Notamacropus eugenii: one gene and its partners. The protein of the gene in region 2 interacts with the protein of the main gene of each other region in a pairwise test. Links are inferred from orthologs where the notes say so. Each region holds a gene or a part of one and is shown on either strand. Other genes may lie near its edges.

Evidence for each region.
Region 1: the proteins of EIF4ENIF1 (region 2) and EIF4E2 interact in binary tests that used the Homo sapiens proteins (3 or more experiments, as listed by UniProt). The two-hybrid records come from large-scale screens. The link is inferred for Notamacropus eugenii from reciprocal best matches to the Homo sapiens genes EIF4ENIF1 and EIF4E2.
Region 3: the proteins of EIF4ENIF1 (region 2) and EIF4E interact in binary tests that used the Homo sapiens proteins (3 or more experiments, as listed by UniProt). The link is inferred for Notamacropus eugenii from reciprocal best matches to the Homo sapiens genes EIF4ENIF1 and EIF4E.
Region 4: the proteins of EIF4ENIF1 (region 2) and EFHC1 interact in binary tests that used the Homo sapiens proteins (3 or more experiments, as listed by UniProt). The two-hybrid records come from large-scale screens. The link is inferred for Notamacropus eugenii from reciprocal best matches to the Homo sapiens genes EIF4ENIF1 and EFHC1.

The regions. Positions count from the first base shown.
Region 1 is NC_092873.1:57,580,690-57,588,101, forward strand, and holds the start of EIF4E2 (eukaryotic translation initiation factor 4E type 2), read right to left. Parts: upstream 3,450-7,412; 5' UTR 3,239-3,449; coding exon 3,219-3,238; intron 2,950-3,218; exon of another isoform or gene 2,670-2,949; intron 231-2,669; coding exon 116-230; intron 1-115. UniProt on the Homo sapiens protein: Recognizes and binds the 7-methylguanosine-containing mRNA cap during an early step in the initiation. Acts as a repressor of translation initiation.
Region 2 is NC_092875.1:13,630,289-13,638,183, reverse strand, and holds the start of EIF4ENIF1 (eukaryotic translation initiation factor 4E transporter), read right to left. Parts: upstream 3,210-7,895; 5' UTR 3,076-3,209; intron 2,440-3,075; exon of another isoform or gene 2,422-2,439; intron 1,696-2,421; 5' UTR 1,665-1,695; coding exon 1,569-1,664; intron 1-1,568. UniProt on the Homo sapiens protein: EIF4E-binding protein that regulates translation and stability of mRNAs in processing bodies (P-bodies). Plays a key role in P-bodies to coordinate the storage of translationally inactive mRNAs in the cytoplasm and prevent their degradation.
Region 3 is NC_092878.1:136,684,954-136,692,459, reverse strand, and holds the start of EIF4E (eukaryotic translation initiation factor 4E), read left to right. Parts: upstream 1-4,470; 5' UTR 4,471-4,629; coding exon 4,630-4,647; intron 4,648-5,046; exon of another isoform or gene 5,047-5,148; intron 5,149-5,453; exon of another isoform or gene 5,454-5,534; intron 5,535-7,506. UniProt on the Homo sapiens protein: Acts in the cytoplasm to initiate and regulate protein synthesis and is required in the nucleus for export of a subset of mRNAs from the nucleus to the cytoplasm which promotes processes such as RNA capping, processing and splicing.
Region 4 is NC_092873.1:118,739,502-118,747,072, reverse strand, and holds the start of EFHC1 (EF-hand domain-containing protein 1), read right to left. Parts: upstream 3,404-7,571; 5' UTR 3,284-3,403; coding exon 3,221-3,283; intron 1-3,220. UniProt on the Homo sapiens protein: Microtubule inner protein (MIP) part of the dynein-decorated doublet microtubules (DMTs) in cilia axoneme, which is required for motile cilia beating.

The DNA of each region.
Region 1 (7,412 bases), on a different chromosome or scaffold from region 2:
GAAAAAAAGAGGATCTGTGAGATGCCCTGGAACTCTTGGAATAAGCAGATCTCACCAGCTTCCCAAGATTTAAACCTGCTGATGAACGCATCTGAGAACATAGCTCCAAACACACCTTCCTCTTGTTGCTGCTCTGACTTTTGTCTCGCTCACTTTTTTCCTTCTCACCGTCTTTCTGTGTGCTGTTTTCTTCATTCTGGTCATGGTCCCCACTGTCATCATCCTTCAAGCTGAAAGAAAAAACAAAACAATGTTCCTCCTATGGCTGAACTATCTCTTCTTCATCCAAAAGAACCAGGAGATTCTAAGATTCACTGTCTTGAATAAAGAGAAACCCCCTAAATTCAGCGTGGGTGTGGAAGATGACCAAAGTTAAAACAAGGAAAGGACTCCTGGCAGCTCCCAAGCAGAAAGCCTATGTCCGCACATGAAGACCCCGAACAAACCACAGGCATCAAAAGTGCATCATCCCAGAATGCCAGGGCTCCAGCCTGGCCCTGCTAAACCCTCTGGGTGCCCCCTTCCCAATTCAACGCATAAGGATCGGGCACTAATTCTAGGACTGGAGAAAGACAGGAAGGACTAACTCAAGGAGAATGGACTCGGCACAAAAGGTACTCTAAATCAACAACAAAGTGGGAGCTCTGAAATCACTGTTGGCTGTTGCCCTGTAGCTCAAGGGAGGTATGTGGTTAATGCAACTAAGACTAGAAATGCTCAAACTATACCCTAGGTTAGAGGCATTAAATGCATGAATTTATTATAGAAAAAGGTGATTAATTCAGGTTCCAGCTCCCCTGAATAAGAACCCACCATCAACCAACCTTCACTGAGCATTTGCTACTTGGAAGGAGTGGGGGATGAGAGGGCAATGAGCCCTCCTTGCTCCTTCTGCTTTCTCTTAAGAGATCAGCTTCCGATTATTCTAAATACATCTCATCCATGGCTAGTAATTCTTGTGTTGTCTTACTAAATGCTTGCTGACCCACTGACATGACGTGACAAGTGACTAGACAAAGCACCAGATGAATGCTGCAGACAGTAAGCGCTATAACAGGACACAGGAGCTACAGGAAGGGCTCCATAGCATTGGACAGATAAAACAGAGATGAGAGCAAACACAGATACTGGGCAAACGCTTTTCCTAATGAAAGAAAACTTGACTCAGGAAACCTTCCTGAGGAACCACAGAAGCTGAGGCCTGACTACACGGTTCTACCTTCAGTTGAGCAACATCTGTGACAGTGAGGTACTCAGTCTTTATGGGAAACCTCCACATCCTATGAGGACACTCTCTCCACTCTGCCTCTGCAGGGTCTACTCCATCCTCCTAATTCTACCCCTACCCCAAGGAAAACAAAGCCTCTCCCACCTGCCAGCTGGCCAAAGCCTTCCCAGTTGCCTTCTCTTCTCTGGGTTTAACATTCTCAGTCCCTGGAATCAACCCCTAGAAAACCCAGTTTCCATTCCCCTTGTGATCAGAGTCTCCTTGTCTACCCTTTCCCCTGTCCCCTAGCCCTTCCCCTCCCCCACCTTGGGTACACACTCTAGCTGGCCAGTTTCTTTCCCCAGATGCAGTGCACAGGACTGAACCCACCCCTTAGACGCCCTGTGATCAGGGCAGAGGACAGCCATGGCCTCCTTAGCCTGGGACATTGGGGTGTTCACTGAGCCTCTCCCATTCTGGACTTGTACGGGTGATTTTTTTTTTAAGACAAATGTAAGACTTTATATTTCTCTTTCATCTTATTAAATCTGGTCCTCAGCTGCCAATTCTACCATCGTGGGACATGGATTCCAGTGATGTTAACAATACATTGCAGCTTCTAGGACCACCTCAAACACTTAAAATGCAGGAACCCTGATTCTGAGCAGAAATACTCTTATCCTGTAACTGAACAAGTCCGCTTTAGCAACATGAAATTGGAGTTTCTCTTCACACACGTCTACGAATCGACCGTACCGTGTCCTAATCTTACAACAAAGCTCTGTATTATTCCAAGAAAGTGAAGGAGAAACCTATCTGAGGACAGAACGGTGGGAGAAGGGTGGAGGCCTTGGAAGTACATTTCCTCTCGGCAACCCAGTTACTTGTGAGACATGCACTGCTTAACAGTAACAGAAGATATAAGGAAGTGGACTTTGACAAATTTCTCAAGGAGTGTTTTCTGTGCCTGGAAAGAAGGAAGCTAGGGTACTAGTCAGGAGATCTGAGTTTGGGTCTCATCAATGTCTTCACCAAGTCCTTTTCCCTCTCTGAGTCTCAGTTTTCCCATCTGTAAAAGGAGGGGGCTAGCCCTGAGGCCTGGGGCCCCTTCCAGGACTTCTATCTTGGCTCTGTTACTTCCTAGCTGGGTGACTCTGGGCCAGTCACTTCCCCTCCTGTGAGAACTCCTGTAGGGCTCACAAGACCACGGGCCTGGGGAGGCAAAGGACCCCACGAGTCCAACCCAGCAGAAAGAGAGCCTGGCCCAGCTCAGGCGGGAGCCGGTCCTCGCCCCTTCTCCAAGCCCTTCCTGCCCCTCCTGCACAGTGACTTGGCCAAGGTCACCCAAGGTGCCAGGGCCTGGTCCCGGACTCCCGCCCCCTCCAAGACAGGGGAGCCGCACGTGGTTGCAGGACACTTCCTGGCCCCCCCCCCATCGCCCAGCTTTCCGTCTGGCTTTTACCTCTTCAACACTGGCTGGAAAAGCCCCAGGCCCCGCAGAATGGAAGTTCCCGGAGGGCAGGGGCCCGGCCCCCAAACAGTAGGCGCCTACTGTGTACGGGATGCACCCCACCTGTCTGGCACGCGGAGGGCGCGCTGGGGGCCTTGGGGGCTGCCCTCGGACAGCTTCCACCCCGCGACTAAGTAAGAAAAGGTAAACTGAGGCCCAGAGAAGGGACTTGCGCAAGGTCACAGAGGGTCGTGGCAGGGTCAGGATTCGAACCCAGGTCCTTGGGCTCCACACCCAGCGCCCTCGCCGCTGCACCGCACGACCGCCCCGCCAGGCACCCCCAGCGCTAAGTCATGCGCGCCGACGCGGGGGAGCGACGGGGTGGGCGCCCCGGCTCTGCCCCCCCTCCCGCCTCCCGCCCCAGCCCGGGGCCTCCCTTCCCCCGCCCGGGGGTCCCCGGCCCCGGCCTCGGTCCCGGGCGGGCCCCGGCGGGGGCGGGCTCAGGCTCAGGCCGGGCCCGGGCCCGGGGCGGCGGTTAGGGCCGCGCGCCACGCCACTCACGCGTCGAACTTGTTGTTCATCCTCTCACCGCCGCCGCCGTCGTCTCACTCGCTGACTTCCGCTCCGCCGAGTCCCTCGGCCTCGGTCCCCCCGGATACTTCCGGTGGCGCTGCGTACAGCCGGAAGCACAGCGCGCGAGCCCCCGGCCGAGGTGGGGGGGGAGCGGAGCGAGCGCCTCTTCGGGAAGGCGGGGTTGGGGCTGGGGGCAGGACCGAGCGAGGCGCCTGCGCAGTGCTGGGCTGGGCGGGGGCGAGCCGGCTCCTCCTCCTGACCACGGCTGAGGGCGGAGCGAAAGGGGGCGGGGCAGAGCTGACGACATTCCCGCCCCTACGCGGGGCGTGGAGAAGGAGGTGGGGGGGCCGGGCGCCGTTCAGTCCGCTCTCCTCCTTACAGAAGAGGAAACTGAGGCCAGGGAAGACAAGGGGCAAGAGGTCGCGGGTCCAACCCCCTCAGCTTACAGACGGGGAAACGGAGGCCCCAGGAGAGGGGCTTGAGACCCCTCCAATCCAACCCCTCCATTTCACAGAGGGGGAAACTGAGGCTGGGGGGCAGTCACTTCCCCAAAGCTCGGCTCTGCACATGCCACCCCCTCCTCGGCAAAGCCCAGGCGCCCCCTTCGTCTCCAGCATCCAATACGGGGGCTTTGTTTGGCTTCCAAGCCCCCCCACCCTTGCAGCTGCCCCCGGACCCTCCCTCTGGGCTCTGGGCATCTCTCTGGCCATCCCCCAGGCCTGCAACACGCCCCTCTGCTCTGACCACTGACCTCCCCGGCCTCCTTTTGGCCCGCCCCCATCACCTCCTATTTATCCCATGTGTTCCTTTATATACATTTGCTTATATGTGTCTCCACCTTTAGATTGGGAGCTCCTGGAGGGCAGGGACCATCTGCCTCTTTTCATCTACCTGGTGCTTATACAGAGCAGGGTATACAGTAGGTACTTAATAAATACTTATCGATCAATGATTGTGGTGTCTACAGTCCCTTCCAGCTCTAAAATCTATGATCTTTCACCTTGCGATACCTTCCAGTCTTTTCTAGCAGTTTAATTGTGAAAGAGAAAAGAAATGTGGGGCATTGGCTTGAGGGGATGCTAAGGGAAGGTCAAGAGTTTAGGCTTGGGGTCTTCGGATAGGAAACTGAAAACAGCAAGGACAGGTTCTGCTTCTGAAGGAGTATGATGGGGATGGGATCCAGTACACAAGGGTAAAGTTTGGCTTTGCCTAGGAGACAGACACATGGTCCTCAGAATCCAAAGGGAAGGAGGAGGAGATAAGGGATGCTTAGAGCAAGGGTTTGGGGAGAGGGTAGGACACAGTTAGGGTTATTGTGAATACCTAAGTAGGAGGCCAAGTCTTTTGATGACCAAGTTTGGACAAGGAGAGATTTATAAGACTTGAGAAAAAAAAGGGAAGTTTTGAGAAAAGCAACAGATCAAAATAAAAAGATTGTCTCAGGGCCCAGTTGAGATCAGGTCACATAAATCTGTAATGGACCCAGTAAGGCAAGGTTGGATGACCTCCTCCGTTGGCCACAAGGAACAGAGAAAATGAATGGTACTGGTAGGAGAAAGGGACAAGGAAATTCCATGTAGAGGTCAGGTGATAGCTGAGCTGTTTAATTCTAGTCTGAAGACTTCAGAGGAGAAGCATGAGGCCAGATGGAGTAAAGAGGAATGAGTCACATGGATACGTGGAAGTTGTGGTCAGAGAAAGGAACTTCTGAGTTCTAGATCACGAAGGTAAACCAGTTCTGGATGACAGTAAGATCAAAAGTATGAGCACCCCTTAGAAGGAGGAGGCCAGGGTGTCTGAGGGGAAACAACACACACATTGGAGTCCTTGAGTATGTCAGCAGGAGTTGGGCTTGAGACCATGAGCCAGATACTGAAGAAAGGCAGTGAGTGTGGAAAATTTCAGATTCAGAGTCAAAGGACCTGGGTTAGACTCCCTGCCTCTGTGACTTTGGGCAAGTCCCTCAACTTTTCTGAGCCTCGGTTTTCTCATCTTTGAAATGATGGAATGGTAATACATAACTTTTAAGGTTCCTTCCACTTTCAAATTTATTCTGTAATATCTGGGCTCAATCCCAACTCACAGAGCTGTTAAGCCTATGGATTTGCATTTACTTAAAATTGTAGCTGGGGCCCCCACAGGTGTGTTCACTTTTAGTGATCAGCCAGAAGACATGAGTGAGAAGATATTGCACCAGATTTCTGACAGTATCAGAGGAGAGAAGGGAGTATATTAGAGAGATATTGCAAAGGTGATATTGACAGATCTGGCAACAGATTGGTTGTGGGATGTGAGAAAATGAGGATGACACCTAGGATGAGAGTCTATGAAACTGGAAGGATAAATGAACCTGTTGAAAATCAGACGTTTCTCTCTGCTTCCAGCTGTGACCCTTGGAAACAAGGCTCACTCTCTTTGCACCATACTTTTGGCTTAAAAACAAACAAACCAGGGCTTTCAAAATAGCTATAATAATAAAGATACTATAACCATCAACATAATGATAGTTAACATGTATTTAGGCACAGCACTAACTGAGGTACTGATGACTACAGGGCATTGTGGTCCATTGGCTCATTTGCATGTGACTGTTTTTAGACTTTTAAGAGATTATAACTGAGAAATTATAAATTAAATAACTAGTCAGGGTACCATGGGAAAATCATATAAGGATTGCGGAATCATAACCTGACAAAAAGTTAGAATTTTTGAGATTAAAATCATATTAGAGATGGATTGTTGCTTATAAGGCGACCCTGCATGGAGGCTGGCATTTTCAGCCGCAGAAAAGTAGAATAAAGTGAAAGCGAGGTAAGAGATGGCCAGCTGAAGACAGAAGTGAGAGCCAGCTGAGCACAGGCAGGTGAACGGACACATAAGAAACCAACAAGGAGAAGCAGGCACGTAAGAAGCAATTGTGGCCTGGGCCCACCTTGGACATCCCCTGGGCTCCAACTGTATGGCATGCACCAGATGCACAGCCTTCCCTTGGGGCTGCCAAGTGCTTCTCTCTGCTTCTCCTGCAGCTCTTGGTCTCTGTCTCTGTCTGTCTGTCCGTCTGTCTCTCCCTCTGTCTCTGTCTGTCTCTGTGTCTCTCTCTCCCCATTTCTCTGTCTCTTTGTCTGTCTGTCTCTCTCTTTCTCTCCCCCTCCACTCTCTTTCTTTCTCTCCCCCTCCTCTTTCTTCCTTTCCTCCCTTCTCTCTCTCTCTCTCCCTCTCCCTCCTTCCCTCTCCCCACTCCACTGTACTTTCGGTTTAATAAAAAGGAGGCTTTAAAAATAGCTTTTTAAACAATAGTAATAGGTAGCAATTAGCTCTTACTCTATCCCAGACACCATACAAAGCACCTCAGAGTTATTATCTTATTTGATCCCTGGAGGTAGGTGAGATCATTATTGCAATTTTACAGCTGGGGAAACTGAGGCAGAGAGAATTTTTTTTTTTTAAGTCACTTGCCCAGGGTTACACAGCTAATATCCGAGGCCAGTTTAGAACTCAGTGTTTGTCTCTTGCCTCATTCCTCAGATCAACAACAGCCTAGGGGCGATCGGTTTCTCAGAACAGACACCTGTCTATGCCCTTCCATAGAATCATGGTTAGAAGGCATTTATCAACAGCAGAGTTTGCTCTAGGTGTCAAGTTGCATCAGACATGGCCCAGGGCCCTTGCATCAGGGGAACACTCTCTGGCTTAAGCTAACTTCTTGGCCTGGTGCTTTGGTGTCTGTGAAAGACTTCAACCCAACTTACTGCTAGCATTTCCGCTGTCTCCTGACTACATTCTCTGAAGCCTGGCCCATGGCATTCATGGAAAGGCTATGTGTCCATTAGTTCCCAAACTGCCAGCCTTCCCTGGAGAGGACTATGGGAGGTTGGGGGGGGGCGGTGCGTTGCAGGAAGAGGGGCACAAAGACAAAGCTAAGCCAAGGACAAGCTTCTCTACCTGTCTAGACTTGTGTGTGGTCTCTCACCTGCAGACACAGCCAGCCCAAACCTAAGGGGACTGAGGACCTCCTTCCAATCCTCCCCATCCCCTGGATTCTCTTGTCTTCTGGTCATCTCCTAGCCTCCTTCTGTCGTATCTACTCTTATTTGGCTGGTCTCTAACAAGTAGATAACTGCAATCAAGTTATCTAGAGAGGGTGGTGTAGCCAGATGACAAGAAATGTCATCAGCAGGGACT
Region 2 (7,895 bases):
AGAGCCCTGACCCCCCAGGCTCTGCTCCGATACTTCTTCTATGAGTAAGTCATCCTGTCATCTCTCTTCAAACAATCTTGTGACGTACGCAGGCAAGTCAAGCGCTTTCTAGCCCTGAAGTGCTTGCTAGATCAACCCCAACTGTTACTCCCAACTAATACTTCAATATTTCAAAACCAATTTCCTTCGGTACAAATTTTTACATATGGAGAAGTCACCCCCCCCCTCCATTATCAGTGTGTAACAAGCTTCTGAAACATGACTAAAACCAACAGACCTATAGGTGATAAACTAAAAAATGAAGCCATCAGAAAGGCATTTTCAAAGCTACCAAAATGGGTCCTTATCAAGTCAACAAGCTTGCAAGAGGGAAAATTCAACTAAGAACATGATTTTACCACTCCTGTTCAACTAAATCCTTTGTATCTGTCTCTGGGGGGGAGGGGGAGATGGGGAGGTGATTGGGGTTGAGTGGCTTGCCCAGGGTACATGGCTAGATTTGAACTCAGATCCTGCTGACCCCAGAGCCAGTGCTCTAACCACTGTGCCATCTAGCTGCCCCTCCTTTGTATTTTTCAAAACAACTTGCTAAATAACAAAGACTTAGCAAATATGGTTTTATTGGCCCAGTTTCCAGGAATATAAAAAGATCCACAAATAAAAACCAAAGGGTATAATGAAGAACACTATTTGTATGCTAACTTTTCAAGACAGGAGGGGATATGGTGCGTGAGGGGCTGAAAGCAAGGGTAAATATCCAAGCTCAAGGAGCAGCATCAGCATCCACAGAGGAGACCTGGCCATATGCTGCTCACCAGGCCACGGTGCTGCTCTGGAGCTCTACACTGGTCCTCACTTGAACTTCACCCACTTTCAACAGATCCCTTAACTCTAAATCACAGCTAATCTTGCGAAGAAGAGAATTTCTTCCAACAACACAGAGACAGGATGTGTTTTGAAGCGCTAGATATTCTCACCAACACTGGTACCTCCTGTGGGCTCCACAGGCAACACGAGAGAATTGTCACGGAGTCCTGTCCGCCTCCTTGGATCCACCTGGCAACCCCCCCACCCCCATGTGCTGTTTGAAAATAAAGCCGGAGCAAAGTTATTTTACCCAGGAAAGGCGGCAAGGATAACGGTAAGAATTACCAACGTGCTACAAGATCTTTCACCAGGAGCCACCACAACATTTTCTAAAACCCTTCCCTCACCCATCTGCGATACTTTGACAACTACAAAAACGTTTTTAGACGTTTCCCGCACCTAACTCCGACCGCCAGGAAAAACAAGGAAAAGAGAAAAGAGCCAGCCTCCGCGGCCCAAGCGGTCTGGACGAGCCTTCGGAAAGGGTGTCGTCACCTCCCAAGAAGCCGCTCCTACCGCGCAGGACCCGCGTCTCCCAAAGCTCAGGCCTTAGCCCTTACGAGAGGAGAACGTTTGCGGAACCTGCCGGCACCGCCAATCAACAGCGGGCATCGGCCTGCCAGCCTCCCCTCCAGGACACGGCGCGGTCCGAGCCAGGCCGGACACACCTGGGAGCGGAGGGAGGAGGCGGCCAAGCCTACCTTCGTGTAGCGGTGCGGGGACCTGGAGGCCGGCGGCTTCTTCGGGTCCGGGAAGGCGTCCCCGTTCTCCGCTTCTCCCACGGCCCTTCTATCCATGGCGCCGGGGGGGGTCCCTGGCTCGGTGCACCTGCAAGGACAGCGCAGGTCAGGGCGGAGGCGCAGGGGGGCAGGGGGGCAGCACGCAGGGGGCAGCGCGCAGGGGGCAGCACGCAGGGGGGCAGGGGGGCAGCGCGCAGGGGGGCAGGGGGGCAGCACGCAGGAGGGCAGGTGGGCAGCACGCAGGGGGGCAGGGGGGCAGCACGCAGGGGGGCAGCACGCAGGGGGCAGCGCGCAGGGGGCAGCACGCAGGGGGGCAGGGGGGCAGCGCGCAGGGGGGCAGGGGGGCAGCACGCAGGGGGGCAGCACGCAGGAGGACAGCGCGCAGGGGGGGCAGCGCGCAGGGGGGCAGCGGCGCAGGTGGGCAGCACGCAGGGGGGCAGCGGCGCAGGAGGACAGCGCGCAGGGGGGCAGCGCGCAGGGGGGCAGGGGGCAGGTGGGCAGCACGCAGGGGGGCAGGGGGGGCAGCACGCAGGGGGGCAGGGGGGCAGCACGCAGGGGGGCAGCGCGCAGGGGGGCAGGGGGGCAGCACGCAGGGGGGCAGCACGCAGGAGGACAGCGCGCAGGGGGGCAGCGCGCAGGGGGGCAGCGCGCAGGGGGGCAGCGCGCAGGGGGGCAGGGGGCAGGTGGGCAGCACGCAGGGGGGCAGGGGGGGCAGCACGCAGGGGGGCAGGGGGGGCAGCACGCAGGTGGGCAGGGGGGCAGCGTGCAGGGGGGGCAGAGGCGCAGGGGGGCAGCGCGCCCGCCCTGAGCGGACCCGAGGACGGGGGGCTCGCTCGGCTGCTGCGCTCACAGACGGACGTCCCTGGTCTGGAGGCTCCCGAGGACTGAGCACACGGAGGAAAGGCCAGCCCGCAGCACCGGGCTAGGCACACAGGGTGTGCCACGCAGGGCGGCAGGGGACTTCCACGGGGGAGGGGGAGGAGGCGAGCCTGAGAAAACTTTCCCCGCATCAGCACGAACCACAACCAGGGCTCGCTGCGAGGCCAGTCGGGACCAGAGCCGCGGCGCCCGTGCCCCCCGCTGTGGGGGCAGGACCTGGGCCCCGGACACGGCAGACGGACACACGGACACACGCACACGAGGCCCCGCTGGACGCCTCCCGCCCCGGCCCGTCAGAGGGCCCCGCTCTGGCGGCCTCAGTTTCTCCGGACTGCGCTCCCCAAGCAGCGGCAGGACAGCCCCTCCCCCCAGCCCGGCACTTCCCGGGCTGGAAACCCCGGGCTTCCCCTCCGCGGGCCCCGAGGCGACCCCGCCCTCGCCGCCAGCACCAGAGGCCTAGCTCGGGCGGCGGAGGGGGCCCGCTGCCCACCCCGCCCCCTGGGCCCTCCCGCGGCAGGAGCCCCCGGCGGGGCCGAGCCGGACGCCGGGCCGGAGGCCCCTCCTCCCGGGGGCCGGGCCGCGCACTCACCGTGCGGAAGAGGGAGGCGGGCAGGGACGACGAGAGGAGCCCCTCAGCAGCGCCTCGGGCCGGGCTCGGCCCAGGCCCCGGCCCCGGCGCCGCCGCCGCCGCCACCGTCACGGCCGCCGTGCTGCCGCCCTGTGCTCGCCCGGCCCTCCTCGGCTTCGGCCCCCGCGGCTGCCCCCCGGCCCGCCCGCTCGCTCTCCGGCCCGCCTGGCTGCGCCTCGCGCCCCGAGCGAGCGTGAGCGCGACGGCGCGTGCGCACGGAGGTCCGAGGAGTGAGGGCCGCCTCGAGCCGGCCGTGAGCCTCCGCGCAGCCGCAGCGCCGCCGCCTCGCGCAGCCCCGCGCGCGCGCTCTCGAGCCCGGCTGCCCCTCCCCCAGACGCTCTTCGGGCCTGGCCCTACTCCCGCCCCACCCTCCCCGACCCCGAGCGCCTATTCGCTTCGCTGGTTTCTTTTCCTGCGCTCTGGATCTGTCTCCCCTCAGCCGCCGTAACTGGGGCCTTCACTCCGCCCCTTTTCCCCGCCCCTTTAATAACTCCCTCCACGCACCGGCTTCTGCGCCTGCGCCGCCACGGCTCAACCCCCCCCCCCCCCCCCCCCCCCCAATAGAAGGTGACCTCGGAGGTGCCTGAGTGGAAAATGCAAGTCTTTCAAAATAAAATGAGAGAAGACTAGCCCTGAGCAGGAGGACTCGCGCTCTTTGGCGAACTGCCCACCCCTCAGGGGGCAGACTTCAAAAGTAGACATCACAAGCGGGGAATGAAGGCGCCCGTCCAGCTATGGTTGGAGAGTGAATGGGAGAGGGGGCGATGGCCCCTCAGGCGTTCGGCGAGGGCAGGCCCCAGGGCCGAGAGCGCGCGGCGTGGGGGGGGCGGTTCTCTGGTCGGGCCTCGGGCGCGCGCGCGGCCTCGTGGCGAGTGCTGCCGGGCGTCAGTCCTGGCGTCCGCTTGTGCACGCGCCCGGGGACTGGCGCCGGAAAGGGAGGGGGAGGGGGAGGGGGAGGAGGGAGGAGCCGGAGGCCTGATGTCTGGCCAAACCTCCCGGCTTCTGAGTGCTTACAGCAGGCGCCTAATGCCTGCTGCATTCGATCGCACTGGATCCTGTCCAGTTCCCTCGTGTTACAGAGTGGGCAACCGAGGCCCAAAGCGTCCACGTGGAACGGTGCTTGACTTAGTGTCAGCAGTGGGTGGAAATCGTCACCATTTATTAGGCCCCTGGGTTTACACCTTGGTATCTCTTGGTCTAAAGTCCACCTGCCAGGACGGGCATTCCTTCCACAAGCATTTATTAAATGCCGACTGTGTGCCAGATGCCAGGAAAAGGAAGCAGCTTGGGCCTTCTGGGAGAGGGGAATCCCAAACACCTTCCCCTCCCACAATTCCATTCAATCAGCATTTATTAAGCACCTCCTGTATGCCAGGAGCTGGGGATACAAAAAGAGGCCTCAGGGAGCTTCCAATCCAATGGGAGGGGGAAACACGAATCCAGGATAAATAGGAAATGAGGAGGGAGGCCTTCCCGGAGGAGGGGGCCCTCCCGGAGAAGGGGGGATTCTTGCTGGGATTTGGGGTCAGGGTCAGGAAGCACCTACTACGGGCTTGGGCCAGCGCCCTCCTGTAGACAATGAGGAAACCAAGGCCCAGGGCATCCGAGTGGCTTCATCTGAACCCAGGTCTTCAGCTGCACCCTCCCTCTAATATACCCTCCCTCTGTTCAGACCTGTCCATGGATGAGGGAAGGGACTGAGGATTTATGCAGCACCCACTGTATGTGTTTTCCAAATACCTCGCTGGATCCTCACAATAGTACTGTGAGATTAGTATTATTTATCGTTATTATCCTAATTTTACAATTAAGGAAATGGAAACAAATGGGAAAAGTGACTTGTCCAGGGTCACACAGCTAGTAAAAGTCTGAAGCTGGATTTGAACTCAAGTCTTTCTGACTCCACACCCAGCTTTCTATCCACTGCTCCACCTACTTGTCCATGGAGAGGGATTCTGGCAGCCATATCCTGGCAAATGTTTTAAGGACAGGCTCTCCAGAAAAAATGATTGAAGAGGATGTGCCAATCCAGTGCCAATTTCCCAGGTGTAAATGCTCCCCCAGAAAATGTTAACAATCTGCTCTCTGAAGCCTGTTAAAGCAGCTCCAGCCCACACCTTTCCCCCTCTCCCCATAGGAACTCGTGATGTAATCATCTCTGACATGTGGAGGCAGCTGTGGTGGTTCAAAAGCTGTGCCTTAACGACCCCCATGCTCTCAGGTGCTGATAATTAGGGACATGCAAATTAAAGCAGCTCTGAGGTTCATCTAACACCCCTCAGACTGGTAAAAATGGACACCTTCCCAAATAAAAATAAGGGGGTAAGTACATGCTGGAGGGGCTGGAAGAAAACAGGCTCATTAATGCACTGTGGGTAGAGACCTGGATTAGTCCAATACTCTGAAAAGAAATTTGAAACTATGCCTAAAAAGCTATGGAACTGTGTATACTCTGAACTATTGATACCTTCTCTTTTACCTGGGGACCCTGAGGGTCTTCCCCTCTCAGTTTGATTTTTTTTTTTAAAGTAAAGGAGCCTTCCCTTGAGTAACTACTTAAAGAAGACTATTCATAGAATGGGTGTATCACACTCCAAGTGAGAATGTGATAAGACCTTAGCCTGAAAGGGTCAGGGTCTCCCATCGCATCCTGGGCCATCTCCAGTTGTCCTGATGAATATCAGGCCACTGGACCCAGATGGCTCTAGAGGAGAAAATGAGACTAGTGACCTTGCACAGCCCTCCCTCACGCAAATCAAAGTCAACTGCAAGTCATGTCATCATCTGGATGTCATGGTCCTCTTCGAGAGGGAAGGACAAACATAACAACTTCTACTAGGTCTGTACTCCCCTTCCCCCAAAGAAATCGAAGAAAGAGGGAAGGACTCATGGGTACAAATATGTTTATGGCCGCTCTTTTAGTAATGGAAAAATTTGGAAATTAAAGGAATGCTCATTAACTGGAGAATAGTTGAACAAATCATGGTATGTGAATGACATGGATCAGTATTATATTGTAAAAAAGAAGGGATGTCTCATTTTCCTCCTCTATAAAATAAGAATAATAACAGTCCCCTCCTCATAGACCTGTTGTGAGGATCCAACGAGGTGATATTTCAAAAGCTCTTAGCACAGTGCCTGCAAATAATAGGTGTCTAATTGTTGCTATTTCTTTCCTTCCCATCATTCCTTGTTCTGTCCTCTGGGGTCAGACAGAACTGGTCTGGTCCCCTTTCAGGTACTTGAAGACAGCTATCATGCCTCTCCATCTTTTCTTTCTCTCAATTTCCCCTGTCCTTTAAACCAATTAAAATAGGTTTTGCGTTTTACAGGAAAAGATCTTTTAATATATAATATTTTATATCATTATATATTACGTTCATTATGTTTATATTATTCCATCTATATTTATGATATATTATAATACATGCTTCTTTTTTAAAAATAAGTTTTAGGTTTTGTGTTTTACATGCCAATCATTTTTGGAAATGCCTCCCTTTGCCGTACGCCAAATTGAACTCTTGCTACTAACAAAGAAAGATAGTTAAGACAAGGGACCTGGGTGGAGGCAGCAGGGTGAGGTAGAAAGCGGCTGAACATGAGTCAGAAAAACTAGCTTGGAATTCCTGCTCTGCCACTTACAACTTTACAGTCTGGGCAGATCCCTGAGCTTCTGTTTCCTCATCTATAAAATGAGGAGGTTGGAATAGGTGACTGCCAAGGTGTCTTCAAGATTAAAATCTAAGGTTCTGTGACTTTTAAGTTCTCTTCAGATCCTAGGATTTCACAGTGCTATATCTAACCATGCTTCCTCTAGCCTACACTTGTGAAATTGATTTTTTGGACTCTGTAGAAGACTTTGCATTTATCCCTTTGAATTTTATCTTATTAGATGCTATCTTATTAGATGCAGCCCAGGACTTTAGCCTGTAAGGATCTCTCTGACTGCTCACTATGTCGTCATCATCCCTCCCAGCTTGGGGTCATGAGCATGCCCTCTCTGAGGCCTTTATTCCATCCATTCTTGTGAGAAGCAAGCTAGGGATGGGGACATGATGGGGATTACTGGTTCCTCTCATATTTTCCCAGAGTCTTTTCCTTCAATAACTTGAAGAGGGATTGACCTCCTGCCTCTTTTCTCTTGAAGCTAGAAACTAGAAGCACCCAAAGTCTGGATACTCGGTGGTTCAAAGGAAACCTAAAGCCTTCTTTTCTCTGGGTCTTACCAATTCCATCCCACCTCTCAGGCAGACTTGGTACATTGATCTCCACAAGTAGAGAGAGCTCCATACCAATGGGCTTTGGGACACACACACACACACTCACTTTGTTTGCAAATCTCTGTTGCATTCTGTTATTGGAGGGTAGCAAAGGGATTACTATGTTCAACCACATCCCATGGAGCTGGACATGCCCTCTGGCCTCTGGTGGGACATGTGCCTTGCTGGGATGATAGAACTACTCTTGATTGGTCCCTGGTGTTTGGGAGTGGGGGTTATCTTGATGGTGCCTGGCAACTCAGTCATAGATGGAGAGCTGGAGTCAGGAGGAGCCACCCACTCTGAAGATTATAGGATGAAGGAAAACTGTCTATCTTTGCCTATTTTGGATCTGCTCCTTTGAGTTTGTCTTTTGGGCTTTATTTCCCCTGGACTTCCAGGAAGGGATGGGGAAGAAATTTTCATCCCAACCCTTCCCTTCCATTTCCCCCCACCTCCATCCTCCAGCAACAATGGTGACTATGAGCACACAGCAATGGGAACATGTGCCTGCTGGGGCAG
Region 3 (7,506 bases), on a different chromosome or scaffold from region 2:
TACATAACCTCGCTCTGCCTCCTGCCACTCCCAGCCTTATTTCATGTTAGTCTCCCTTTATAAAATCTGCCGAAATGTACTCCAAACTTGACATTCCAGGTTTTCTCTCATGCCTTTGTACAAATTCTGTGTCTGGAATGTCATTCTTCCTCATGTCTGGGGCCACTGATGTGCAAAGCCTTTTCTGAGACCCTTAGTTGCTAAGTGTTCTCCCCCTACTTGGTTATCTTATTTTCTTAACGTTGGGTCTCTTTTGTGTGTGAGTTGGACTAGAGAGCCAATAAACATACATCTCTCAAATAGGCTATATATCCAGATGAATATAAAATCTTCATGAGAAATAATATTTTGTTTCTTGTCACTGCTTAGAATAATGTATTTTTTTAAGCACTGCTTTTAGTAAGTACTTAGTTGTTGAATTCAAAGCCACAGAATTTCAGAACTGGAAGGGCCTTCAAACGCAGTCACCACTGATCCAACCCATCCATATCTGGAAAAAAAAATCCCCAATACAACATACCTGACAGAGATCATTCAACTTTTGTTTGAAGATTTCAGGTAAGGGGTGTGTGTGTGTGTGTATATGGGGGAGGGAGGGAACTGGGCTCTTCTCTCAATTCCACTTCTGGTTGGCTCTCATTGTCAAGTTTTTCTGTACCAAAAGCCAACATGTCTTTTTATAATTTTCATGGGTTGCTCCTAGTTCTGTCTCTGAACAAACCTAATCTTTCCACGACAGCCTTTCAAATACTCAATAGTTGCCATGCCCTTACCCTGTCTTCTATTCTCCAAGCAGATATCCCTACCTTTTTTCAAATAACCTTTCAGTGTCTTAGTTGCCCTTTCTCTGAACCCTCATTTATTCAAGGAGAATGATGAAAGGGGAAAAAGACTTCAGCCACAGTCAGAGGTCCTGAGTTCAGCTGTCAGCTCTAGGTCTTACTACCCCTTGTGCAGCTGGGCAAGTCACATCTTCTCTGGTCCTCACTTTCCTCATATGTAAAATAAGGGGGCTAGACTAAGCATTCTCCAAGGTCTCTCTCAGTTCTTTTATGTAGGACTCTATGTAGTTGCCATGCCCTTACCCTGTCTTCTATTCTCCAAGCAGATATCCCTACCTTTTTTCAAATAACCTTTCAGTGTCTTAGTTGCCCTTTCTCTGAACCCTCATTTATTCAAGGAGAATGATGAAAGGGGAAAAAGACTTCAGCCACAGTCAGAGGTCCTGAGTTCAGCTGTCAGCTCTAGGTCTTACTACCCCTTGTGCAGCTGGGCAAGTCACATCTTCTCTGGTCCTCACTTTCCTCATATGTAAAATAAGGGGGCTAGACTAAGCATTCTCCAAGGTCTCTCTCAGTTCTTTTATGTAGGACTCTATGCTATGTTCTGCCTAAAATGTCATGCCCAGAACTGAACACAATCCCTGCAGATGTGATCTGAACAGGGCAGAGCGCAGTGAAACAATCACCCTCTTACTCACATACCTGTCTTCATGCATCTTAAGAATGATTTAGCTTCTTGGCTGCCACATGTCATTGCTAATTGCTACTAACTGAATCTGTAGTTAAATAAATTCCCTAGTTCTTTTTCACATGAATTGCTGTCTGGCCACACTTCCCCATGTCTTGTATTTGTGGGACTTTTTCAACATGTGTAACACTTTACATTTATTCCTATTGTTTCATATTATTAAGTCTCAATCCAGTGTTCTAGCCCATCAAGGTCTTTTGGAATCCTGAATGTCATCCAATGTGTATTCCTCCACCTTGGTATCAGCTATGAATTTGACAAACATGTCAACCTGGTCTTTATCCAAAATGCTGCTAAAAATTCCTGGGGCATACCATTGAAGATTTCCTCCTGAAATAACTTAAAGCCATTAATGCTGACTCTTGGGGCTCAGCCATCAACCAGCTATAAATTCTTCTGTATTTTGTCATATAGCTTACACCTCTCCATCTTTCCACCAGAACAACATGCCAAATCCTTTGCTAAAACTTTTGCACTGCCCTATTTTAACAGCTTAATAACCCTGACAAAAAAAGGAAATGAGGTTAGTCTGGCATGACCTGTTTTTGATGATGCCATGCTGACTCTTTGGGATCACTCCTTCCTCTTAGAGATGAATTTAAAGATGTTTGAAATAAATTAAGAAACTGATCTAAGTGAACAATCTTAGATTCCTTTCAGCCACAATATTCCAACTGATCTATTGTTTTTGAAATTGTTCACAACTTTTATATAAAAGGACTTAGTTACCTAATACCAGTCAGGGAGTAAGCAAGATCTAGTTAGAAATGCTGGATATTCCCTTAGAAAATCTTTAGAAACTACCTCCAGAATAAGCATTATCTTTACTCTTACGGAGCAACACAGTAGCAGATACAGTCCATCAAATTGTGAGCACTTCGTCAAGGCTTCTAGGAATGCCTAACCCGTATTATCTTGTTTTTGTTTGGAGGTACCAAAAGAAAATTGGTAAATCAACGTGTTTGAATATCCACTCTGACAGAGACTGATAAGGAAGATGCTACTAGGGGAACAAAATAAATAGGCATGAACTGTTTTTTTGCAAACTTTACAATCCACTGAAATTATTTTAAATTTATGAAAGATGAGATGAAAAATACACCCAAGAAAACACTCAAACTAAACAAATCCAGCTGTAAAATGCTTGGTATATACATAAATATCAGGAAGGTGCTGGAGTGATTAGAAATCGATCTTTTTTCTCAAGAACTCAATTTTTTTTTCCCATAATGCAAACAGGATCTGGATTCAAGGAAGGAAATGATTAACAAGGTTAGTCTTTGTAAAAAAAAAAACTTTATTATGTGAACTGATTTAAATTTTATGGGTAGGGGACTTCCATTTCTGCTTCACTTTTCCTCTGGTTCCTGCAATAAAGTCTGGTATTATGGAAACAGCCTTAAGAATTTTGCAAGAAGGTAGTCTGATGGTGGCCACTATTAAGAAGAAAATACCAGTAAAATCAAAAGTTTTTGACTATTTTAAGCAAGAATGGTATTTTCTATAGAGATATCTTTTTTATCCTCTTTAATTTTGTCGGAATTCTTGTCTAATACATCTATACAAAATAAAAGTCTGTTACATTCATTACCTTGGGCACTCAAAGTCAATCTATAGACGAAAAGATGATGACCTTGAGGCCCACGGGCAGCCCCAATGATGTGCAAGCCAATTCAGCTTCCATTATGCACTCAACAATAGGTATGACACTGCCTCGGACATCAGCTTCAGTAACAGCAGGCAGGTATATGCCATAGTGGTAACTTTCTGAGACGACATTCTTCAAGGCATGGGAAATAGTGGCGGGGGGGAGTTCCTCAAAGGGCCCTCTTGGTAGCGCATTACCAGACTTCTTTTTCTGTACCAGTTTTATTAATAAACAGACCATGTGCAATAGCACCGACCTGGAACATTCTAGGTACTGAGCAGAGGGGAGGGGGTCCAGGGTGACACATCGCCCAGGGCTGGGGGCGGATTTCAACGCAGTCCCCGTCAATTTCAGTGAAACTGACCATCTGCCGGAGGGAATTTACCTGGGAGGGGGTTGGGAGTGGGCTTTTTTTTTATGGGGGGGATTCATGATTAGCCGGCCCACCCGGAGAGGTGGTTAGGCGAGGCCGCAGCTACTGCCCCTCTCGGGCCGGGAACCCCACCCCCCAGGCCGGGGCGGCCGCGCGCCCTTGTGAGGTAAGGCAGCTTTGAGACCGCAGGCGGGAAAAGCCCAGGCCCCCGCGAGGCAGTCACTGGCCGGGGGCCCGGGCTCATTGTTTGCCAGGCCCCGCCAGCCCCGGCCGTCAGTCCGGCGCTGGGTGACCAGGGCCGCCGGGTGCTGCTCCGGGGGGGGGGACTGGCCTCAGGCGCCTGACGCGGCTGGACACCGAGCACCGAACGCCGGGCCTCCGAAGGCCCACTCCCGCCCCCGCTGCTAGGGCCCACTCCGGGCAGGCATGGCCGGGAGGCGCCAGCGCTAGCCGCGTCCCGGCCCCGCGCCGTCCCGCCGGCCGCTCGTCCCCGCTGCTCCTTTCCGTTCACTAATAAATAGAGAAGAGAATGAAGGCGGCCGTGAGGACCAGGGTGGCGGGAGGAACCAACGACGCCAAGTGAAGGCGGCCCCGGGAGCCTTGCGGAGGCGCCCAGCCAATGAGGTTTCTTCCTGTGAGCTGAGCCCACGGGGATGATGGGAAGCCGGGGGACGGCGGCGCACCGACGGCTCTAACGCGGAGGAAGAACGCAAGACGGAGGAGACCCCCTCCCGCCGCAGCCTCACTTTCGCAACCGGACCGAGCCCCACCTCTGCCTCACCTTCCTAGCCCCACTCACCCGCCCGCAGCTCAGCGCCGCACCGCCTCCGTAGCCACGTGATCAGTCCTCTTCCCAGCCTTCCTCCTCACTTAAGGGGAGGGGAGGGAGAGGGGGAAAAAAAGACTCCACTTCCCAGAAGCCCTCGGTTACCCACGCACCCGCCACCTTGCGCAGGCGCTGCCCGAGCCAAACGGACACGCTCGTCACGTGGGGGGCGACCGGCCAATCCGGTTTGAATTTCATTTTTTTACTCTTACCCCCCCTTCAGGAGCGGTTGTCTGATCAGATCGATCTAAGATGGCGACTGTGGAACCGGTGAGTGTTGCCTTCGGCCCCCCCACCCCCTACCGGGTCCCCGCGCCCGGTTCCCCTGGGGCCTGGGAGACTCCGCGGGACTGCGCTCCCGGCGCGCACGCAAACTCCTCGCCGCCCCCTCCCCCTCTGTCGGGCGCTGACCTCCCGGCGACTGCGGTGACTGGGGGCGCCGGGGAGGCGGCTGCGGCGTGTAGCGCACACATTCTAGTGGGGGCAGGCGAGACGAGAGAAGAGGTGGGGGAGGGGCGGCGGGGAGCCAGCGGCGGTGTGAGCGCGAGGTGCCCGGATGGGGGAGGAGGGAGGGAGGGAGGAGGGCTAGGGGCCGGGTGGGGAAGTTGCGGGACACGGGGCCGGGGCCCGAGCTGGGGGGGGGGGGGGGCAGGCGGTGGGATCGGGGCTCTCCGGTCGGGGCTGGTGGCGAGCGCGTGGGGCGAGGAGTACGGCGAGGGTCGGCGGCGGCGCCACCGGCCGTCGTGGGGACGTGCGCCGGCGGTCCGCGAGGTGAATGTCGGGGGTTGGTGGGGCGGGCGGCGGCACGCGCGGAGGGCCTGCACCACGCCGGCCGCCGGGGCGCGGGGAGCGCGCGCGAGCGAGCCGCCGGCCGGGGTTGGGGGGCACGGGGGGCCGAGGGCGGGGGGCGGCTCCGCCTGGCGGTGCGCGACCGCGGCCCGGGGGAGCCGGGGCGGGAGCACCTTGCGTGCCCTCCTGGGCGCCGGCCCGGACTGTGCGGGAGGAGCGATGGCGAGGGGCGGGGGCCGGGCCGGGCCGGCTTCGGACTGCCCTCGGCCCTCCATTCATTCATCCTTGCCCCCGGTGTGCGCATTGCGCATGCCTTGGACAGTGGGAAGAGGCCCGAGTCTTCGATCCCTCCGAGGCCAGATGGATTGGTAAATTGACCCCGTTGGGCGGAACTTGTGACGAACTGGGGCTTTTATTTCTCGCCGGTCTCTCTTCCCTCCCGGTCGGGTCCAGACAGCCGCAGCTTAGACCGGGAGAAGCAGACAGACCTAGGGTAGGCAGTGCCCTGCACTCCCCAAAGGGGGCTGGAACATGTGTCCCTTGGTGGGGCTTACCATCTGCCCTTCTGGCCGAGGCCTCCAAAGCCCCTACGTGGCAGTTTTAAATCTATAAAACACCCAGACTCCGAAGCACCTCGATGACACTTGAACTGAATGAACAGTTTCATAGCAAATGACTTGAAATCTTAATAATTCCTTCAGAACTTTTTCCTTTTACAGTTAGCAGTTCTCTCCATTTCATTGAGGAATTCTTTCCTTAGTTCCCCACCCCTAGTTGTGTTCATAGGGACCATACATTTCTGCCGTGCTTGTTATGTCCTTAGAAAAGTAGTTACAGTTGTGAAAAGTACTTTGATCATTCAGCCTTCTGGTTTTTTTTTTCCGGTGATTGAAAAACTTACCCGACCTGTGTAGTCTCATTAAAGTTGCTTTTTTATACACACATATATGTGATTTAAATAGAGCTCGTTTTATATATGAGGTCCAGAGATGTTAAAAACTATGACCTATTAAGTATTTGAGCCAAAATCTTCATCAACTCCAAATTCAATGCTTTTCCTAGTATACCTTATTACTTTGTTCTGGGCCTTCTTACGGAATGATTCCCCCAGACTTGCACAAAGTAGGTTTTTTAAATTACTTCTGCACTTACATTGATTTTTTTGATAAAGGGTTGATAAAGGGTTTGTACAAATGTTGGGGAATAAATTTGTTAGCTTTAGAACTCTTAAGGTTCTGCTACAAAAAGAGGGCAGGATATTTAATTTTACATACGAACAAAGCATTAACTTTTAAAATATTTGCAGGTCTTTAAGTCTATGTCAAATTGAACCTTGTGTAGCGTTCACTATACAAGTTTACCCCTGGAACCAAGTTAGTAGTAGTAGGAGTAAAGTAAAATAACTTTTAAAACAGTAGTGTAGTTCCACAAAGAATTCTTAATATTTGGGGATTTTCAAAACTATACAGTATTGCTTTGATTACCACATAGCCAGTACTAACTCAGACAACAGATTAAACAGTTCTGGATTGCATTCTACCAGATACCAGCCTATAATTTGAAAAACTAGCATGTTGATTCAGGTGGCTTGGGAGTCTTACAATGAGCATTTACTACCATGATTTCTTTTTACCTGTCCTTTTTTCAAGTAGGTATTTAGAAAGCTGCTATGTATCTGGAATCATTTGAGTTTTGATACTGCTTTTGTAACATTTGATCTTGTGGAAATAGATACATCAAAAAATATGTAACCTTTTGGTTTAGGATTTACAAAATACCAATGTGTTGGATATAGTGTTTTTAACTCTGAAACAAACTTATTAATATCTAAATATTTGAGAACAATTTGAGAACAATTTCAAGTTTTATCTAATGACTCAGTAAAGTGTGTAATTAAAATGTAGGTTGCTTTATTCTCATTCTTGTTCTTTGAACTTAATTTCAAACCAAAAACTTCTTTTTCCTAGACTACTAGGTAATTTTAAAAAAAGTTTTACAAATAAGTATGTTCACCTGGTTTCAGTTTGGCTTGGTTTGGTTTAGTAATGATGCAACCTGCATCTCTTAGCTCTGTAAACAGAAGTGTAGTTTGAATCAGACTTGATTATAATGTTTTATAGGAAAACAGCTTTTGTATAGATATCTTAAATTCATCATGATTAAATCTTAAGCTAGCATTTTGTATTCTTAATGATTCAGCTACTCCTGAGGCTAAGGTCCCTGTCTCTTGGACACAGAATATGTAAAACTTTCTTTTTCAGTTTTCCTTTGTGAAAAGAGAACATTTTATTTTCTCATTTCTTGAGAGTTTTTCTGTCAAAGTGAATTATTTGAGGCAAA
Region 4 (7,571 bases), on a different chromosome or scaffold from region 2:
CAAACCATAAGGCACTATGTGAATGGTGGTGGTGGTAGTAGTAGTAACAGTAGCAGTAGTTGTGGTATCCATATTTCTATTCTCTTCTTCTATCTGTAAGGACAAATGCAGCATCTGTTACTTCAATTTGCTTTTTCCTTTTTGGTTAAGAGGCTTCGCTAATTTGTAATGTGCCTCAACTTTGAGTCCTCATGCAGGAACCAGGATAATTCTAGAAAAATGGCCTTTCAAGAAAAAAGCATATACTGTCATCACCTTGCCCTCCCTTTCACAAAATCTTTTCTGTACATTTCCACTAATGGCCCACAATACTGCAAATAGGACCTCACATTACTTTGATTCACTGCATCGTCATTGGTACCACTTAAATTATTGGTTTGAGTGCATAGTGCTAACAGTTCATTCTGTTTAGGTGACAGCAATGGATACAGCAGAAAGCCATTGCCTGATAAGTCACTCAAATTGCCTGCCTCTAAGAATGGCCACAGGCTCATATGCAAAAAACTTTCAACTCATTACTAAGTACTAACTCACCATCCCCAGCAAATTTTTAGCATCATTTTCAAATTGCAGAAAATTCAACTTGCATCTAATTCTGAAGGTCAAAGATGATCAACACAAGCAAGGACTTCACAATTTCCCTATAATCACAATGAACAAGGGGAGGGAATCCCATAATTTTTATTCCCTCACCAAATCTGACATCTAAGTGCAATACAAGAGAAATACATCGCCATTTTGTGCCATTGAATACAAAGCATTTCATGCACTTGGAAAACTCAAATGTAAAGTATGTACACTTTTGGCTCCTTCTGTGCAATCTGCTTGCTAAATGGCAAAAGAGACCTTCCAGGAAACAAAAACCCACCAATTAACTTGGTCAAGCAAAACTGGAAATTTAGAAAGGAAGCAACTAGTCTGCTATAGGAAGAGGAGATTCTGTCAGACAGTTTGATGTGAAGGTATAAGTGGATCAGGGATGGGGTCGGTATCTTGACTGGGGTAGAGGAAGGGACACACTGACAAATGGGGAAGGATAACATAGGGAGGAAGGGAAAAGAAAGTTCAAAGAGTATAAGAAATGTTGATGAAGAAGGAGATTTTAACATTAGTATACAACCAGTCAGATTAGTTTTCATCAGAGTGATTACTTTTTCCCCCTCTTTTACAGCTTTGCTTGACCAAGTCAATTGGTGAACTTTGTTTCCTGAAGGTCTCTTTTGCCTTTAAGCAAGTTGTAGATGGATGGGGCTGGGAGAAGACAGCTAGAGTTAGTAAGATGGAATGAGGCTAGCAGTCCGAAGGAAGAGGCATGGTAACTCACATTTTCTATCATGAATGCTTAAAGATTTACAAAGTGCATGTCTGTCAACAATCCTGTGAAGAAAGTGCTATATGTATTTAATCATCTCATTTTACAGGTGAAAGCACTAACAGAGGTTGGTAGGAAAGACTTGGAAAGGGGGCTTAGGTGGGGTGAAGACTTGGAGAGGCAGAGTTATAAAAATAATAGCTACCATTCATAATATGGGTTTACTAATTATTTCTCTCAAAACAACTTATTGAAGTAAGTACAACAATTACCGTTATCCCAGAGTACCTACCTCCTGGTTAGCCTATGGAGAAAAGAAAACTTAGCACCCTATCTAAGATAGGTAGCTGTTTTCAAGTATTTGAAGGTCTATGACCTGGAAGAGATATTGTATTTTTTCCATTTGGTCCTAGAAGGCAGAAGTAGGAGAAATGATGGATGTAGTGAGAAACAGACTTAGTCTTGATGTAAGGGAAAGCTTCCTAACAACTAGACCTATTCACAAGTGGAATGGGCTGCCTCAGGAATTAGTGGGTCCCCTCTCACTGGAGGTCTTCATGTGGAGGCTGGATGCTGAAGACGCCATAGAGAAGATTCTTGTTTAGATGTAATGGGTGCTTCCATCCCCTAGATTCTGTGATCCCCATTTTACAGCTGAGGAAACTGAAGCTCAGATGGGTTAAGGGATGTCACTTTGTGGCATTGCTAGAAAGGATGAGAAGCAGGATTTAAATCCAGATCACTCCACAGTCCAGCTTGTGCTCTTTATACTGTACCACTGGTGGAGAGGGCAGGCAAGGAATGGAGATGGAGATAAGAGAAGAGGTAGAGGATCTCAGAGACAGAGTTGGAAGGAAGAGAGATGGACGTGGGAGAAGAGAGATACAGGAATAGGCTAGGAATAGAGGGAGAGGAAGCAACAGAGTTGGACCTGGGATGAGGAAGAATGGAGTTTTGAGGAAAAAGAACAAGGTTGAGACTTAGGAGGGCTATGGGATAGGCTCAAATGAGAATTTATATAAATACCTTTACAAAAGGCTGTGTAAATGTCAATTATTAGTGTTAATGGATGGGGGAACGAAGATGGGAAAGAGGGAAGAAGCTAGGAAATAGGGATGGGGTTGAGGGAAAGAATGCACTGAATGGGAATGCATGGAGAAAGGGCTGCTGCTGGAAGAAGGAATGGGAATGAAGCCGGGAACTGCAGCTGGGGGGTAGAGATGGACCTCGGGGCTGGAAGATGTTCTGGATGGGAAGGGAAAGGTGTGGGAGATGGTTCTGGGAGAAGGGATGGGGGTCTGTAGAGAGAGCTGACTTTAGGCTACGAAAAAAGATGGGAGTTGGAGGAAGAGGGTTGAGGTTGGGGGGTGGGGGTGGAGTAGGAGATTGACCTGAGAGAACGGATGGGAGTTGGTAGAGAGGACTGAGGCTGGGGGTAAGCCTCGAGAGAAAAGATGAAGCCTATTTTGAATTTTATATCATGTTTCAGGGTATTCTCAATTTGAGAGGAGAGGACTGGAGGGGGAAGGAGATCGGTCTGAAAGAAGGGAAAAAAGTGGGGCTGAGGGCTGCATCTAGATGGTCGTGGGAGGATAAGATTGATTGGGGGAGAAGTCTACAGCTAGAGGTGGGAGACAGGTTGGGAGAAGGGATGGGTGGCGCAGAAAAAGACTTGGAGGAGGGATGCAGCTTGGGTAAAGGGAGGTGGAGCTGGAAGAAGGATAACGTCGGCAGCTGGAGGGGGAAGGTGGAGCTGGAAGCTGGGCTGGGCTGGAGAGGTACAGGGAATGGGCTGTGGGAGGCAAAGAATTGGGACTGGGCCCAGCTGGGGATGCTAGCTGCCCTTAGAAAAGGTGAGGAGTGGGAGTAGGCGTGCCGAGGCCCAGCTGGAGCTGGGCTGTTCCTCACCCTGGGGTCGCTGAAGGAGAAACCCGGCAGGAGGGGCAGCCCGTGCACAGGCTTGGACATCATCGCCACAGCCGCTGCCGCCTTCTAGAGCCCAGCTTCTGTCTATCCCGTTGCCCTGGCGACTGGAACTCGCACGAGGGCTGTGCAACCATGGCAACGCCAAACATTCGCAGGGCACTGAACAGTAGCAGACAGAACGGGGAATGACGTATCTGCGCCTGTGCATTCCGGTGGTGGCGTCCTCTTTGCACCCTTGTGAACCCCTTGAATAGGCGACCTTGCAGCAGTATGAGAGTGTTTTCTGATGCTGGATGCTCCGCACCAGTGACAGCATGGTGGGGTGGGGGGTGGGGGGATGGCCTTCTGCACGGAATTATGACATTTAGAGGAGTTGGATTTCCTTTCTTTTCTTTTTTAAAATTTTGATTATGAACTTAATAAGCTGTAAACATTTCAGTACACAAAGAAGAAAAGCAGAGAATTGTATGGGACACAATGAACTTCTGTTACGCAGTTTAAGAGTGTAGTAAATTTAGAATAGTAATGACAAAATTTCCCTGTTTGACTTGGTTCATTTTTTTTTTTAAGTTTTATTGATGTGTTTTGGTTTTACATTTACAGATCACTCCCACTCAGTGAGAGGCCTCCATAACAAAGAAATACAGTTAATTACACTAATAAAATAGTGACTTCATCTAAGTGTGCACATTTCACATCTGTAGCACTACCACCCCCATTAAAAAAAAATATTTTCTCTAAAAAAGAAAAATTTATTATGACAAATATGCATAGTCAAGTAAAATAAATTCCTTCAATGGTATACACAATATAGATGTAGATATAATTATATCTCATTTGGCATCCTAAATCTGTCACCTCTCTGTAATGAATAAACATTTCATCACGTGTCCCCTGGAATCATTAAGGGTCATTGTATTGATCATAATACAGCTTTCAAGGTTGAGCTTTACAGCGTTCTCACACAAAATTGTTCTCCTGGTTCCACTCATTTCATTATCAGTTTATTAAGTCCTCAAAATTGTTTTTGTAATTGTGATGTTATAAGTTGTCCTGGTGCTGCTTCCTTTATTCTGCATTAATTCATAAAAGTTTTTCTATGTCTCTTGAAATCATATATTTCCTCATTTTGTTCAACACAGCAGTATTCCATCATGGTGATCTATCACAATATATTCAGCCATTTCCACAGTTAATGGACTTCTTAGTTTCTATTAAATATTTTTGTTTATATATAAAAGTTATTTTCTTCTTTCTTTGATCTCTTTTGGGTATAGACCTAGAAGTGGTATAGCTGGGTCAAAAGGCAATCAATAGCTTTTCCCTCTGTCTCCCACTCCCATCCCACCTTTCCTTTTTGCTTCCTGTTACTAACTCCACATTCTTTTCTATCACAGCATTTCTGAAATGTGGCAAAAAGTTTAAGAAGCCCTGCTCTATTATAACTTTTCTTAAGAAGTGATGATGATAAAACAGCATTAAGTTTGTTGCCTTTTAAGTTTACCCATATTGTGTTGCAAACAACCACTAATACAATCTTTTCCCCATCTGTGAGAGTATCTACATGTTCACAGGTGACAAAACCTGAAGTCAAAAAAAATTTATCTCTAATGTTGATATTTGAAGGCATCAACCAACCATGGGGTAAAGGATGAGACTTTGTCCAGGGTTCCTGAAATTATATGAGTAGGTGAAGGCATATGTATTCTGCCTGTTTCTCATGTTATCCTGAGGTAATTGTCCTGCCTTTTTTTTTCTGAGCAAGAGGTTTGTTACCAAGTTGTGCACCTATATTTTTAAATGGTATTTGGGGCAGTTTCAACCTGTTGTTCTTAATCTCCCAGAAAAGGGGGGTGGGGAAAGAGAAGAAATTACTCTCTAAACTAGAGCACAGTGGGTTTTCAGTTGAATGAGAACTAAATTCCTGATGGTGAAAATTGATTTTGTGACTGGCTACTGAGGGAGGTTGATGGATGCTGTTTCACATTGGCTAGGTTGGAGGAAGGAGAGAAGGACCTTGTGGCGAATAGATTTTGATCTTGTCTGATCCACTTAATAACCTATTACACTCTTAAGTACACAATCAATAAATAGCATTTATTGATTGTGTACTATACATACATACATACACACATATACAAAATAAATAAGAAACAGATGTTAAGTATTGGAGGTAAGTGGGAGGGAGATTCAGGAGCAGGGAGGATCAGGAAAAGCTTCTTGCAGAAACTGATTCATAAGCTGAGATTTGAAGGAAACTACATATTCTAAGAGACAATGGTAAGCATGGAGACAAAAAAATGGAGTCCTTTATAATGAAGAATAAGAAGGCTAGTTTGGCTAGTCTAGGGTACCAGAATGAAAGTAATATATAATGAGACAAGAAAGATACTTTGGAGCCGGGTTGTAAAGGGTTTTAAACTCCAGAGGAGTTTATGTTTGATCCTAAGGCAAGGGTTGTTAACATTTTTTGTGTTCATCATGGACCCCTTTAGCGGTCTGGGGAAGCCTATAGACTCCTCATAATGTTTCTAAATGCATAAAATGAAATACATGAAAGTATAAAATATACAATTATGTTAAAATACAGTTATCAAAAAATTTTGTACCAAAAAAACCTCACAGATTTCAGATTTAGGGCCATTGTCCAAGAGGTAAATAAATAAACTGAACTTTATTGAAAAGAGGATTGACATGGTCAGTGCTATCCTTCTGGCATAACACTTTGGTAGCTGTGTGCCAGATGGATTGGAGAGAGAAGAGACTTGAGGGAAGGAGACCTATTAGGAGTCTACTGAGCAGGGAGGGGGGAGTTGAGAGAATAAGCATTTATATAGCATCTCCTATGTGTCACAGGTAATGAGGGTTTGTGAGTAGGGAGTGTGTGAGTGAGTGAGGACCTCTGAGTAGGAAGAAGAGGTTGTATGTTTGAGATATTGCGGATGAAGAAGCAACAAGTTTAGGCAAATGATTGATATGTAGGTTAGGAGAGAGTGAGAAATTGTGGATAACACGGAGGTGGCCAACCTAGTAATGGGAAAGATGGTGATTCCCCCTTTCTCTTCTACTACACTGCTTTTGGATTTCATTGGACCTTTCTACCATGCCTTCCCTTTTCAGGGTTTTCATTATCCTGAAAGATTGAATCTGCCTGGTACTCACATTTTTTGGCCCCTCTAATTGGACACTCTTGGCTATAGGTCAAGGCCATAGGCTGTAAGGCTTTTATTTAAGAAAAGGGTTCAATGTATTCTTCTCCCTATTTCCCACCAGCTACACTGCTTTTGGTGCTTTTGGACTTCTCTGGACTTCTCCTTCATTCCCCAGCACCTGGGTACCTCCCCTCCCTCCTCTTCTCCCTGTCATCTTCCTTTTGTGTGTTTTGGACATACTAAATTTGAGTTATCTGTGGGACATCTATGTCCAAAAGGCAGTCAGTGTTTTGGGACTGGAACTCATGAGAGAAACCAGGTCAACCTCAGGAAGATGTACATTCAAGGCTTGGGAGATAGTCTGCGTAAAGTTATAGAGATGTCAGATGGAATGTCATTTAAAGGAAACACCAAACATGGTAATTTCACAAGAATGTAGAATATGTGTAGGATGATAATATGCACTAAACCTAAAAAGGTAGGCTGGAACCAGATTGTGAAGGGCTTGAAAAGCCAAACACAGGAGTTTGTTTTTTATATTATATGCAAGAGGTAGCCATGGGTATTTCTTGAACAGGAGAGTAACCAGGTCAGACCTGTGTTTAAATTTCATATCCAGGTCCTCAACTCCAAATCTAGTAACTTATTAACTTTGTATGTTATAAATCTTAAACAGTTTTACTGCCCTCCTCCAAGGAATTAGAAATCACCCCATAAATGGGTAGGGCACAAGGTATGCCACTTCATTAAGACTTTTGGTAGATTCTTTAGTCTGTTCCTTGGCTAATTAGGGAGAAAGTGGAGGCAGAGCCTGGAAAGGGTGAGTCATCCTCATGGTCGTTATCCATTGTGGCACTGTCTTCTATTTAAGGAATGACCTATGTTCAGATAACTTTCCCCTCCAGAGAACAACGTGCTATTTAAATAGTTAACCGAGTGCTCTCTTATCATTGTGTGAAAGCAGAAACTAAGTCGAGGGCAAATGTGTGGAACTGGTGAATCTGGATAAGTTTTTGTAGAGACTGAAGTCAACCAAATGTGAGAACAAATTGGGATGAGAGACAGGATAATGTCTACAGGTCTGAAAGAATAGGGCAGGGCTTGGGAAAACTGTAGAAGCATTTGGTGTGATACATGATTTACTCCTACTTGTCCTCACTCCAGGACATTGATACAAAAAG